Linked DNA regions of Drosophila melanogaster. The gene in region 1 interacts genetically with each later gene. Each region holds a gene or a part of one and is shown in the gene's direction. Other genes may lie near its edges.

Region 1 (4,880 bases):
CGCTGGAAGCAATTGCACGATCTCTTCAAGAGCAAACAGGACTCACTCAAGCGTGAGTTGAAAATGGAGGAGGACAAGCTGGAGGCCCAGATGGAGTACGCTCGCTACGAACAGGAGACCGAACTGCTGCGCCAGGAGCTGAAGAAGCGCGAGCTGGACAACGAGCGCATGAAACTGGAGTGGGAGATGCGTGAGAAACAAGCCGAGGAGATTCGAAAGCGGGAAGAGGAATACATGCATCGTTATCAAAACCAATTACTTCGCCATGAGGAGGATATGCGAGCCCGTCAGCAGGAGAACGATTTGCTAATGCAGGCCAAGAAACTCAACATGATCCTCGATCAGCAGGAGGGATTCGGAGGCAGCAACTCTGGATTCGAACACTTTGATTCCCCTTTTGAAGTATTTGGGAACAACAGCAACAATTCAACAATGGCTGGACCTGGAGGTCCAGATAATAGCGACGGAAACCAACACGGACACATTGATTCATGGGGACACCGACGCTTCTAGACACTGAAACCTATATAGATAGCGACGAAAACAATAGTGATCTCATTAGTTACGCATAATATCGGACATTTCGCTCGGCTATGCGTGAACAATAACATAAATAACAAATGGGATCATGCAAGCGAAGATGCATTCATCTCATTATAATATAAATTGAATTTATATAATTAACCAAAAACTGTTAAAAACGGTCTCAACAACAAATCCACCACGAAATATTAACACAAAAATGACAAAATCCAAACACGAATGGCAACTTACAAGATGTGCAGTATTTCGAAGAAAAACACCTGAACATAACCATCCATCATCCATTAGATATATGTAGAGACTACCTCCTAACACGATTAATTTTTGTCTATCATTCAAATTAAATATTGAATGCGACTGAAATTACTGATTATTTGGAGTCGAATATAGATAAAGAGCCTAATTTTTATAATCGTAGATTATACTTTGATTTATGAGTAAATAATCGAAATCGGACTTGCTTTTATTTCAATGTATTTCTCATCCCATCTCTGTCTACTTTTAATAAAAACGGCTCTAACCTAAGGTTTCACTGGGAATTTATGTTGGTAATAAATGTGTTAAAGCGGAAAAGTCGGAAAATGCCATCAGCTCTATTGGGAAATCCGGCAATAAGTTGCAAGGCTGTCCGAAAGGACACATTTCCGCCGGTATCTTCAGTCCCACGACGCTGTCCATATATTAGGTCAAAATGCAATCACTTGTTTAAACAAAAGAATTTATTTGATCAACAGAATGAACTATTGTATGAACCCTCCTCCCATTCACCCAACAATTACACAATTGTATTGTACCGAAGCAATCAAAGATTTCAGTTCAATTACCCGTGGTATAACCATCAATTTGAATTTCCTCGAGATGGAAACAGATGGAAACTCTTCATTTTGTCCAAACGTATATATGTATATATATATATTTTTTTGTAGCTTCGTTAAAGTTCATGATAGTTAAGTACAAATTTCTTTTGAAGTAAATTTTTAGCAATAAACTAAAGCTATTCCGTGCCATTGATATAAGAATTTAAGATCTATATTTACAACATTTTATCTGCATATAATACAAGATGTGGTGGCTTTGAGTTCATTATCTAAGTAAGCCGCTGTTGATTTGCTTGATTAACTAGCAAAAGCCAAAATGATGCTTTGCTTTCCATTTTTGTAGTTTCGAATTGAATAGTACGGCAATTTAATTTTTGATTTATGTATTTATTTTATTAAGCCATTTATGGGCTTTTAGTTCTGCTTATAAAAATCATGATATAGTAAATCAATATTTTATGATAGGATGCTGTCAAGATTTTAAACAAAAATGTAAGCCCAAATGTCAGGTGGCATTAGAATTTAGCATCAGATTTTAGCCAAATCAATACAAGATTTTTAATACAAACTTTTAAAACAGAGTTGTAAAGGGAAAAATTCGATAAGTTCCGATTGAAAGTGCAATCGCTGTTTGAGTGAAACAACCCCTGAATCAGTCATTTCAAAACGTCGATCAACGGTCACACTGCGACTTTGGCGACTTAAAAAACACCCAAGAAAATTGATTTTTCGCTCAAACCGAAAGCAACACCTTTGGGCATCAAATAGATTTCTCGGAATTGAACGCGCACCGCTAGGAAACAAAGAAAAGCCAGCATGGCAGCATCGCAGGTTGACCAGGTGAGCGAAGGGTGGAACTGCCGAAAGCTTTCCGGCCGGAAAACGGCGTCGCCATTGAAGCCCCATTAGTTAATATCATAATGATTCCTCATTTTCCGGCATTTTCCAGAAACGAGCACTTAACAAATTAAAGCACGACTTGGAGCCTTTCCGGACAGCCATCGTGGGAGCGTACGGCGTGCTAACCTGGGAGAAGCAGTACTACGCCGGAGTGGTGTTTGGCGTCATCAGCTGCCTGTACCTGGTGCTGTGGTACCTGGACTTGTCGCTGATTACCCTGCTGTCGCTGCTCGGTGTCATTAGCATTTTGCTGAACTACGCATTCCCCATGGTGTCGCGCCTGATCTTTGGCGGAGTCAACTGGGATGGCGACCAGGAGGCCAAGTTCGAGGACGTGTGCGGCCAGGTGTGCGCCGTCAAGGGCAGCCTGGTGGTCTGGTACGAGTACCTCTTCAACGAGCGGAAGTCCACAGTGGTGAGTAGATGCGGTAGAGACCGTGTGTGTATATGTATATGAAAACAGAGAAGCAGTTTCAGGGCCTAGTATGTGCAGTAGATCTTCTTCTGCAAGCTCAAGTGTAAATAAAAACTTCGGGTTCTATTATTATTTCATCTCACATTTATTCGTTTTGATTCCAGTTTGTAATCGTCATGAGTTTGGGTCTTTTGGCTATGGCCTGGATTGGAGCCATCATTAACAATCTACTGCTTATGTACTTGGCCACCCTACTCATCCTCATGTGGCCAGGACTACAGAACAAGGACATTTTTAAGGCCATCACCCAAAGGGCCTCGAAGATTATTAACGAGAAGATCCAGTGCGGCAAAAGGAAGCTGCAGTAAAGGAAAGCAACCAGATAAACTCATCACCATTTGACCAAAAATATAAAACATGCCTAAGTCATCTACTTGCCATTATGCACACATCGCATCACTAAATCACACATTAGGCGCATTGAATTTGAAACTATAAATATCTTAAAAGATAAGAGCAGCGCATACAGAAAAAAAAAACTCGGAAAACTAGCAAATCCGTGGTTCTGGCCCCATCACATCTCCTACTATAAGTTTGTAACATGTAAGACAGAAGTATTCTCGAAACGAGGCGTACGGAGAGAGAAAAAAACGCGCAACAAAAGACAAGGCATTTTTGTGATTATTTTGTGAGTTAATTGAAATTTATGATAATCCCAAGTAAGATAAAAAAAGGAACTTAAGCGTCTAATGAACTATATTTAAATAAAGATTTCAACTAAATAGATCAATCACTGACGGTCTCTTGACCTTGATCGCGTGCGGGACCTGACATGCTTGCTCCTCTTGGTCTTCTTTTTGTGCTTGCTGTGGTGACGACGATGGTTTTCACCGAGGCTGTCATCGCTCTCTAAGCTGGAGTCGTTGTCCGCCTTTCTCGACTTGTTCTTGGACTTCTTTGAGTGTTTTCTTGACTTGTGGCTGGATGATTTCTTCTTGTGCTTCCTGCGTTCATATGCAGAGTCGGAGTCGCTCTCGGTGGACTCTCCCGTATCGTCTGCCTCGTCTGAACTACTCTTTGTTCTTCTGGTGCTTCGGGGACTTTGCGAACGCTTTTGGTCACGGTCTTCCCGCTTCGACTTAGATGGGCTTCTGCCTCTGGGACTCGGCGAACGACGACGCTCACGTTCCTCGCGTTTAGATACAGAGGAGCTACCACTCCGCACATACTTCTTTTCTCGATCCACCTCCTCTTTGTTAGATTTGGCTTCCTTGTACGATTTTCGCTCGTCTTTGTACGTCCTGCGATGTTCGTCTTTGTACGTTTTTTTGTCTTCATATTTGTAAGACCTTTTATCTTCTTCCTTGCATTTCATGCGATAGTCTTCTTTACTAGATCTCTGGTCCCCTGGCTTCGAACTCTTTTGATTTTGAGCTTCATCCCGGTCTGATCTAATTTCTTCCCTGCGGTCTCTGTCCCTTCTTCCTGACGGATTTTCCTGCTTCACAATAATCTGGCCATGCTCGTTTTCATTTTTTTTGAATTCTTCGTATTTGGCAGTGTCTGAAAGTAAATGTAAAAGAAATATAAAAATGTCACAAATATAAAGGATTTGCATTTTCCAGGCTCCACTTACTTATGCACTTGCCATACTGAGAGTACTCCTTGCGGGATACGGGCTGACAAAGGAACTCGTTGAACGCCTCTTTGGCCCCTCCAATTGCCATTTTGACAATTACTCGCCCTGCATGGTCATCAAAACCTTGGATTTGGCCATACTGATCCTTCTGCTTTCCGCCCAGAATGCGCACGTACGCCTGCTTCTTAATCTCCAGTACCTCGTTCTTCTCCGGCTGGACCAGTAGAGCTTTAGGTTTGAGCGCCTTATCTGCTCCCAGGCCCATGCCTTTGGGTCGCAGAAAGGGGGCATCATCGATGGGTCCTGAGCCCTTCTTTTTTGGCGGTGGATCAACCCAGCCCATGCCGCGCAGCATGGCTAGGCCAAATTGTTGTATCGGTATGTTGTCATAGTCATCTAGTGTTGCCTCCTTGGCACCATCGAGAGGCAGTTCGTCTGCGCTTAGGGCGGGCAGGACAAGTTTCTGGTCATCTAGGCCTTCGGCACCGTTATTTTGGATGGCAGATATCAATTCCCGAGCTGCTCTCTGTTCCAGACTCTCCGTTGGACCGCCTGCGGTGACCTC
Region 2 (6,985 bases), on another chromosome or scaffold:
CAGAGGCTGCTCCAGCTTCAACTACACCATCATCATCACCATCATCATCATCATCACTCCATAATTAATCGCGCCAAGTCGAAAAGCGGCAAAAGAAAGCCAGAAAGCAGACAATGGCTGAACTTCATTTGAAATTCATATTTTAAGTATTCGTCAGTCAATTAGAGAGCCAAGGACCCTGACACCGAATTTGCATTCAGCCGTGAAATTATCAAATTAATATTCCGGCCCCGAGAAGGGGGCGTGCCCCATCACCATCACCCCCGCCCGTCTTTCGCAATAACTGTCAACTCAAACTCAAGAAGTTTTCCACGCCGCACATTTCGGCAAGTTGTCAAGCCAGAGATACGAAAGTTCCCCGGTCCAACAATGCCAATTTGATGGGGGAAATTTTGAAATATTTATACACACTCAAACACACAGATACAGCAGAGGTGTGCTGGCAAAGTTGCCAGCCAAATTTGTTAATTGGAAGCCGAAAGTTTATCTATGAAAATGCTAAAGAAGCCCACTTGCAGTTCGAAAAATGCCAGAATGTATAATAATGGGGCAAGAAATGAGATTAGTCAGTATCCCAAACTTGAATGATCAAAGTTTCATGGATGGCGTAACTAATTTTGAAGTGGAATGATTAAATTTTGAAACTACTTATAATCGATATTACCATCCTGCGATCGGAACAATAAACTCAAACAATTCGATACTTCAATGGGATTGTAAATAATAAGTCATCTTAAATCATCCCAAGCATATTCAAATCGCTTGGAAGCCATTAAAGAGATAAGCGAGCATTGCAAAATGATATCAGCCAACTTGTAACAATTTTCATTGTCATTTTCAATTGGGAGCAGCCAGGAGGAGCTGGCCAAACAACAATGGGAACTGTTATCAAATAGGACACATGATGCATACGTGAGTGGGGGCTTCTATGCACATGGATGTGGTACATACATATGTACGTCCAATATTCTGGTCCATTTGGGCCAGGCCACTATCGAAATTTGAATGCTTAGTGTACCGGGCGACAAGCATCCTCGAACATTGAAATAAACCGATAAAAACGACAGATGAGCCCGGCATTTCGCCCACAATGCATGCCAGGCAGGCAATCGAGTGTGGTCGAGAAATAGTCGGGTAGCCCCCTTTTTGGTTTTGGGGCACAGCTCACTGCCCTGCAATTCTTATATAAAACCGGGGAAGTCCCCATCCCAACCGCCCATGCAAATCTCGAGCACTTGAGGCCGGTCCCCAGATTATTCCTTTTCCCTATTTTGGGCCACGTGGTCTGACCACTTGGCGGCTGCTCCAACTTTAATATTTCTTCGTTTAAATAGTCCTTTATTTCTGCAGAAATTAGACAAAATCAAAGACAATATATTTATGCTATATATTCATTTTCACTGTTATGTCTGTAAGGGTATTCAGAAATGCGCCTACTCTGTGTAGTTTTTCAATTTAGTTAGATACGATGAATATATTGAGATTCTGCCAGATTTAGATTGTGGTGTGTGAGTTTTCAGATTGGTTTGTAAGGACCCCTTTTGTTTGGTCCATATCAATACAAACTCCTCATGTGCATATAAAATAAGTAAAAAGGCAAAATATGAAACAAAACAAAAAGAAAAGGACATTCATATTTTGTAGCTATTGGGGGATTTTAAGTAATGTTATGAAATCATACCTTTCTTTATTTGTGTAAAGTATTCAATACACGCAACTAACGGGCAAAATTGGAAACACCCAAAAATTCAATTTTGGCGCGCACAGAAAGCTGCCCTTTTGGAATAGATTGGCAGCACTCTCGCGCACGGTGGCAACCTCGTCTAGGGACTGCCGATAGCAGCAAGTTCCGCCCGTGTGGCAACACCGCTAGAAAAACAGTCTAAATTTGCTGTGCAACACTGGCGGTTTGCAAAAATAATTTCGGTGCTCGCGTCAATCAGAAAAAGCCGAAAAGAACGGCCTTTATGTGCGCGAATTAATCGCCAGCCGAGTGGAACGCGACCAAAGGAACCCAGCACACACACACACTCAGAATGGAGGCCCTAATTCCGGTCATAAACAAGCTGCAGGACGTCTTCAACACCGTGGGCTCCGACTCCATCCAATTGCCCCAAATTGTTGTTCTAGGCAGTCAGGTAAATGCAAACTGCGAGGTGCCCAAAAATCCGCACACCGAAAACCATAAATCCCCGAGCTCCGTAAAAGGAGTGGCAACTGAGAACCGGAATATGGCGCAGCTATCTGAAACCCCAACTCTTGCGCTTTTCCAGTGACCGCAAAATTATATAACTGAGTGCGTTTGCCGGCATTTTAGTTGTGTTTTCAGTTTGTAGCAACATTTCAGCCAGCTTTCGCTCTTCGCGGCGTCCCCATTGTTTATATAATTATTTTTGGCACTGCTCGCCGCCGCCATGGAAAATCAATATGCCACAGTATTATACAAAAACGAAAAAAAAAACAGCTGCTGGCTGATGTGACACATTCCCCCACGAACACACTGCAAAAAACAAACGTACACATGTGTGACTTCGATAGTTGTGTCTGTATGTACATATATGTGTGCATGTTTCGATCGCTGGCTTAATTGCACTTTGATTCACGCTCTGGAATTAAGTCAGTATGACTAAATGCTCGCGCAACTCATTGATACCGAGTACAGCGGAGCTCCAATATGTTGAATCTGTGCCATTTCTTACCATTCATTTGGTTTTCTGTTGCAAAGGCTTAAGTTTGAGAAATTTGCAATCACAGAATGGCTCCCATTGCCAGATAAGAATAGTTAATCTGCGGTTTTCCAAGTGTTTCCTCGCTGCAAACGCTTGGGAGCCACCTTATCAGGTCATCGTCTTTTATCAGCCGTCGTTTTAACTCCCAGTAATACATACATTTCCCCTTTTTTCCAGAGCTCCGGCAAGAGTTCGGTGATCGAGAGCGTTGTGGGACGATCCTTTCTGCCCCGTGGAACTGGTATTGTGACCCGTCGCCCACTGGTGCTCCAGCTGATCTACAGCCCACTCGATGATCGCGAGAATCGCTCGGCGGAAAATGGTGAGTTGAGACGTCAGAAGTTCGGGAAAACCCAATTGCTAAACCACATAACACTTAGGTACGTCCAATGCCGAGGAGTGGGGCCGCTTCCTGCACACCAAGAAGTGCTTCACGGACTTTGACGAGATCCGCAAGGAGATCGAAAACGAAACGGAGCGGGCGGCGGGCAGCAACAAGGGCATCTGCCCGGAGCCCATCAACCTGAAGATATTCTCAACGCACGTGGTCAACCTAACGCTGGTGGATCTGCCCGGCATCACCAAGGTCCCGGTGGGCGATCAGCCGGAGGATATCGAGGCGCAGATCAAAGAATTGGTCCTCAAGTACATTGAGAACCCGAACTCCATCATTTTGGCTGTGACGGCCGCCAACACGGACATGGCCACCAGTGAGGCACTCAAGCTGGCCAAGGACGTGGACCCCGATGGCCGGCGCACTCTGGCCGTGGTCACGAAACTGGATCTCATGGATGCCGGCACCGATGCCATCGACATCCTGTGCGGCCGGGTCATTCCCGTCAAGCTGGGCATCATCGGCGTTATGAATCGCTCGCAGAAGGACATCATGGACCAAAAGCACATCGACGATCAGATGAAGGACGAGGCCGCCTTCCTGCAGCGCAAGTATCCCACTCTGGCCACCCGGAACGGCACGCCCTACTTGGCCAAGACCCTCAACCGGCTCCTGATGCACCACATCCGGGACTGCCTGCCAGATCTTAAGGTGAGTCTAGTCTATAAAGACTGCATATCGATTTCACAAACTATGCGAGAATCTCAGGCTAAAACTTCAAGAAAATGTAAAAAAATGAAACAAACTTGGCACTCGATTATAATCGATCTTTATATTTTTCTATGGTAAAGCAAGAGAAGATTAATGGCAGATAAGGTTAGAATAGCATGTTGAATTCAAGAGAATGACTTCCCATATTCTTGCAGACTCGCGTCAACATCATGGCCACGCAATTCCAATCGCTGCTGAACTCCTATGGCGAGGATGTCTCCGACAAGAGCCAGACCCTGCTGCAGATCATCACGAAGTTCTCCAGCGCCTACTGCTGCACAATCGAGGGCACGGCCAGGAATATCGAGACCACGGAACTGTGCGGCGGTGCCCGGATGGGCTACATTTTCCACGAGACCTTCGGCCGCACCCTGGACTCCATTCACCCGCTGGCGGGTCTGAGCAAGATGGACATACTGACAGCCATCCGGAATGCCACTGGTCCACGCCCGGCTTTGTTCGTTCCGGAGGTCTCGTTCGAACTGCTAGTGAAGCGCCAGATTCGCCGCCTGGAGGAACCCTCCTTGCGCTGCGTGGAACTCATTCACGAGGAGATGCAGCGCATTGTTCAGCATTGTGGCAACGAAGTGCAGCAGGAGATGCTGCGGTATGTGAACTCATGATAGCTGAACGCCAAAGGTTTTCATCGATCTCCCCTACAGCTTTCCCAAACTGCACGAGAAGATTGTGGACGTGGTCACCCAGCTGCTGCGTCGACGTCTGCCGCACACCAACGTGATGGTGGAGAACATTGTGGCCATCGAGCTGGCCTACATCAACACCAAGCACCCCGACTTCCACAAGGATGCCGCTTTGGTGCCCAGTCTGCTGAAAACGGACAGCGATCCCTACTCACAGATAAATCTGGGGCAGCGGCGGGCCAATACACCGCGAAACCACATGTCGCCTCAGATTTCGTCGCACAGTGCTGGTTCACAGCAGCCGCAGCAGCAACAGCCGCCGCAGCCGAATTCCTCACAGCAGCAATATAGCCAAGTGCATGAGCAGGTGCCAGCGGAATCTTCATTTATGTATGCAACCTATTTAACCCATTTTCGTTTCGCTCTCTAGAACCACGTCGCCGAGAACTCGACGCCTTCGATGGCCAGCACATGGCTGTCAAACATTTTACCGCCGGCACCAACGCGTCCGGACAGCATTGAGAACTCGACCAACAACACTCCGGTTCACAATAACATCGTGAGTCCAGTGAAGCCGGTCAATCTGCTGCCCGATGTGCCGGCCAACCACAATCCACGTCGCCTCACTGACAAGGAGCAGAAGGATTGCGATGTCATCGGTGGGTTGCACTTAACTCGGGCCACTTAAAGACCTAACTCAATCTGACTACTTTTTGTTTTTAGAACACCTGATCAAATCGTATTTCTACATTGTGCGCAAATCCATACAAGACTCGGTTCCAAAGGCCATCATGCATTTCTTGGTTAACTACGTTAAGGACAACTTGCAGAGCGAATTGGTTACACATCTGTATAAGTCGGATAAGGCTGAAACCCTGCTCAACGAGTCCGATCACATTGCAGTGCGCCGAAAAGAGGCGGCAGATATGCTGAAGGTGCGCTTGGCTAGCTTATACTTAGCTTGACATCGTTTTAAACTTACTTTTGATTTCAGGCACTGACGCGAGCGAATCACATCATCAGCGAAATCCGCGAGACCCACATGTGGTAGGCTGGTCAGCGATTGGAGCAACCCGTTTCGACTTAATAATCCCCGCATATAAGCAACATAAAAACTATTTATTGAAGACGCGTTCAAAGAGAACGAACTCCTTTGTTAAATGTTCCCCCTACCGAGCACTGAAATATCATCAAATTGCATGCGACCCCCAAATTCTGGGCCTTTCATTTAGCCAACTCGCATTTCTATTCGCCTGGCATTTGTCTATCATCGAGCCTCTCCGCTTTTTAAATTAATAAGAAGTTGTAGACGCCGTGATTGGTTTGATTAGGTTACTCAAAGCACTTATTACACATTGAATAGTCAAATAAAGCAGAAAAGGTTGATTCAAACATAGTAGATGTGTTTTCTGTCACGGCAGCTAAAAGTTTACGAAGGCAACGTCATCATGTTGAATGATACACCTGGAATTTCGATTAGATAAGCCATTATGTTCGTAAAGTTGCTAGGCTCAGTCTGAAGATTAATAAGTGTTTAAATCTGATAGGAGTTGAATCTTCCTGAGTTTTGAGATGCGTAGCAATTGCTTAGCCTTACTAAAAACAAAATTTTTCTTACAAATTATGTTACATGTAGGTGTGGCTTGAGTGAACTAGAAGTACGTTCGTTCCCCTGATTGAAATCACTGCCACTCACCTTTCGTAATAAAAACTTTAATACTTGGATACCAGTTAAAATCTAATTTGGAAAACGTCATTTGTATTGCGGCGAAGAAACAGAAGTGGGTTCCAGCTGGGGCGTGGCAAATCCCGAAGATAAGGATGTGGTGTCCAGTGCTCCAATCCTGTGTTGATTAAATGCTCCGCGATGCGTATGAATCGGTTTATGGGGCAGGGAACAGTTGGGGTAGTGACTCTATGACCGCCTTTGGCTGTGCTGATCTCCTCTAGGCGCGATTTGTGTCGGACAGCACGCGGACAATGCAGCCCACTCCTCCCTTGGCGAAGGCCTTCTCATGCCACTGCAGCAGGTGGCCACTGGAGCCCTCCGAGGGGATCTCGAATCCCCGATATATGTACTTCATCAGCACGTCTATTAGGTCGTTCTGGTCCAAGGTGTCGATGGCCTGGTCCATTTGCGTCGACTTGATGGACAGCAGCACCCGCAGCGTGATGTTCAGGGCGTGGTCCTGCAATGCAAGGAAGGATTAGCTTTATAGGGTTCTCGATACGAATAGGTGTGGCTACCCACCTTCACATTCTGGTTCTTGCAGCGCAGCGGGGCATTCTGCAGCGCACTCAGGAGCGCCTCCACGGATTTTCCCTGCGTCAGCAGCGTCGTAATCTCGCTCTCATCCGGACCGGCTGCCGCGCTCTCCACCCCATCATCCTCCCGGAAGTTGTCCTCATTGTACTGGTCCACATCGATCTTGCGGAACGCGTTGCTGGACGTGTTTTTGGCCATGTTTTCGCTAAATTCCCACCACTTTTCTCTACAAAAATATGAATCA

The links.
Region 2: of Arl6IP1 (region 1) and Drp1, changing one suppresses a phenotype caused by changing the other (phenotypic suppression), as found in Drosophila melanogaster (one study listed by BioGRID).

The regions. Positions count from the first base shown.
Region 1 is NT_033777.3:16,641,708-16,646,587, forward strand, and holds Arl6IP1 (ADP-ribosylation factor-like 6 interacting protein 1), read left to right. Parts: upstream 1-1,897; 5' UTR 1,898-2,177; coding exon 2,178-2,201; intron 2,202-2,310; coding exon 2,311-2,676; intron 2,677-2,840; coding exon 2,841-3,044; 3' UTR 3,045-3,464; downstream 3,465-4,880. Other genes in the region: nonA-l (nonA-like), read left to right, coding at 1-513; CG10324 (uncharacterized protein), read right to left, coding at 3,467-4,239, 4,313-4,880.
Region 2 is NT_033779.5:2,580,323-2,587,307, reverse strand, and holds Drp1 (dynamin related protein 1), read left to right. Parts: upstream 1-1,877; 5' UTR 1,878-2,036; coding exon 2,037-2,138; intron 2,139-2,906; coding exon 2,907-3,051; intron 3,052-3,109; coding exon 3,110-3,774; intron 3,775-3,989; coding exon 3,990-4,441; intron 4,442-4,496; coding exon 4,497-4,842; intron 4,843-4,905; coding exon 4,906-5,134; intron 5,135-5,198; coding exon 5,199-5,410; intron 5,411-5,469; coding exon 5,470-5,526; 3' UTR 5,527-6,027; downstream 6,028-6,985. Other genes in the region: Arpc5 (Actin-related protein 2/3 complex, subunit 5), read right to left, coding at 6,422-6,664, 6,727-6,939.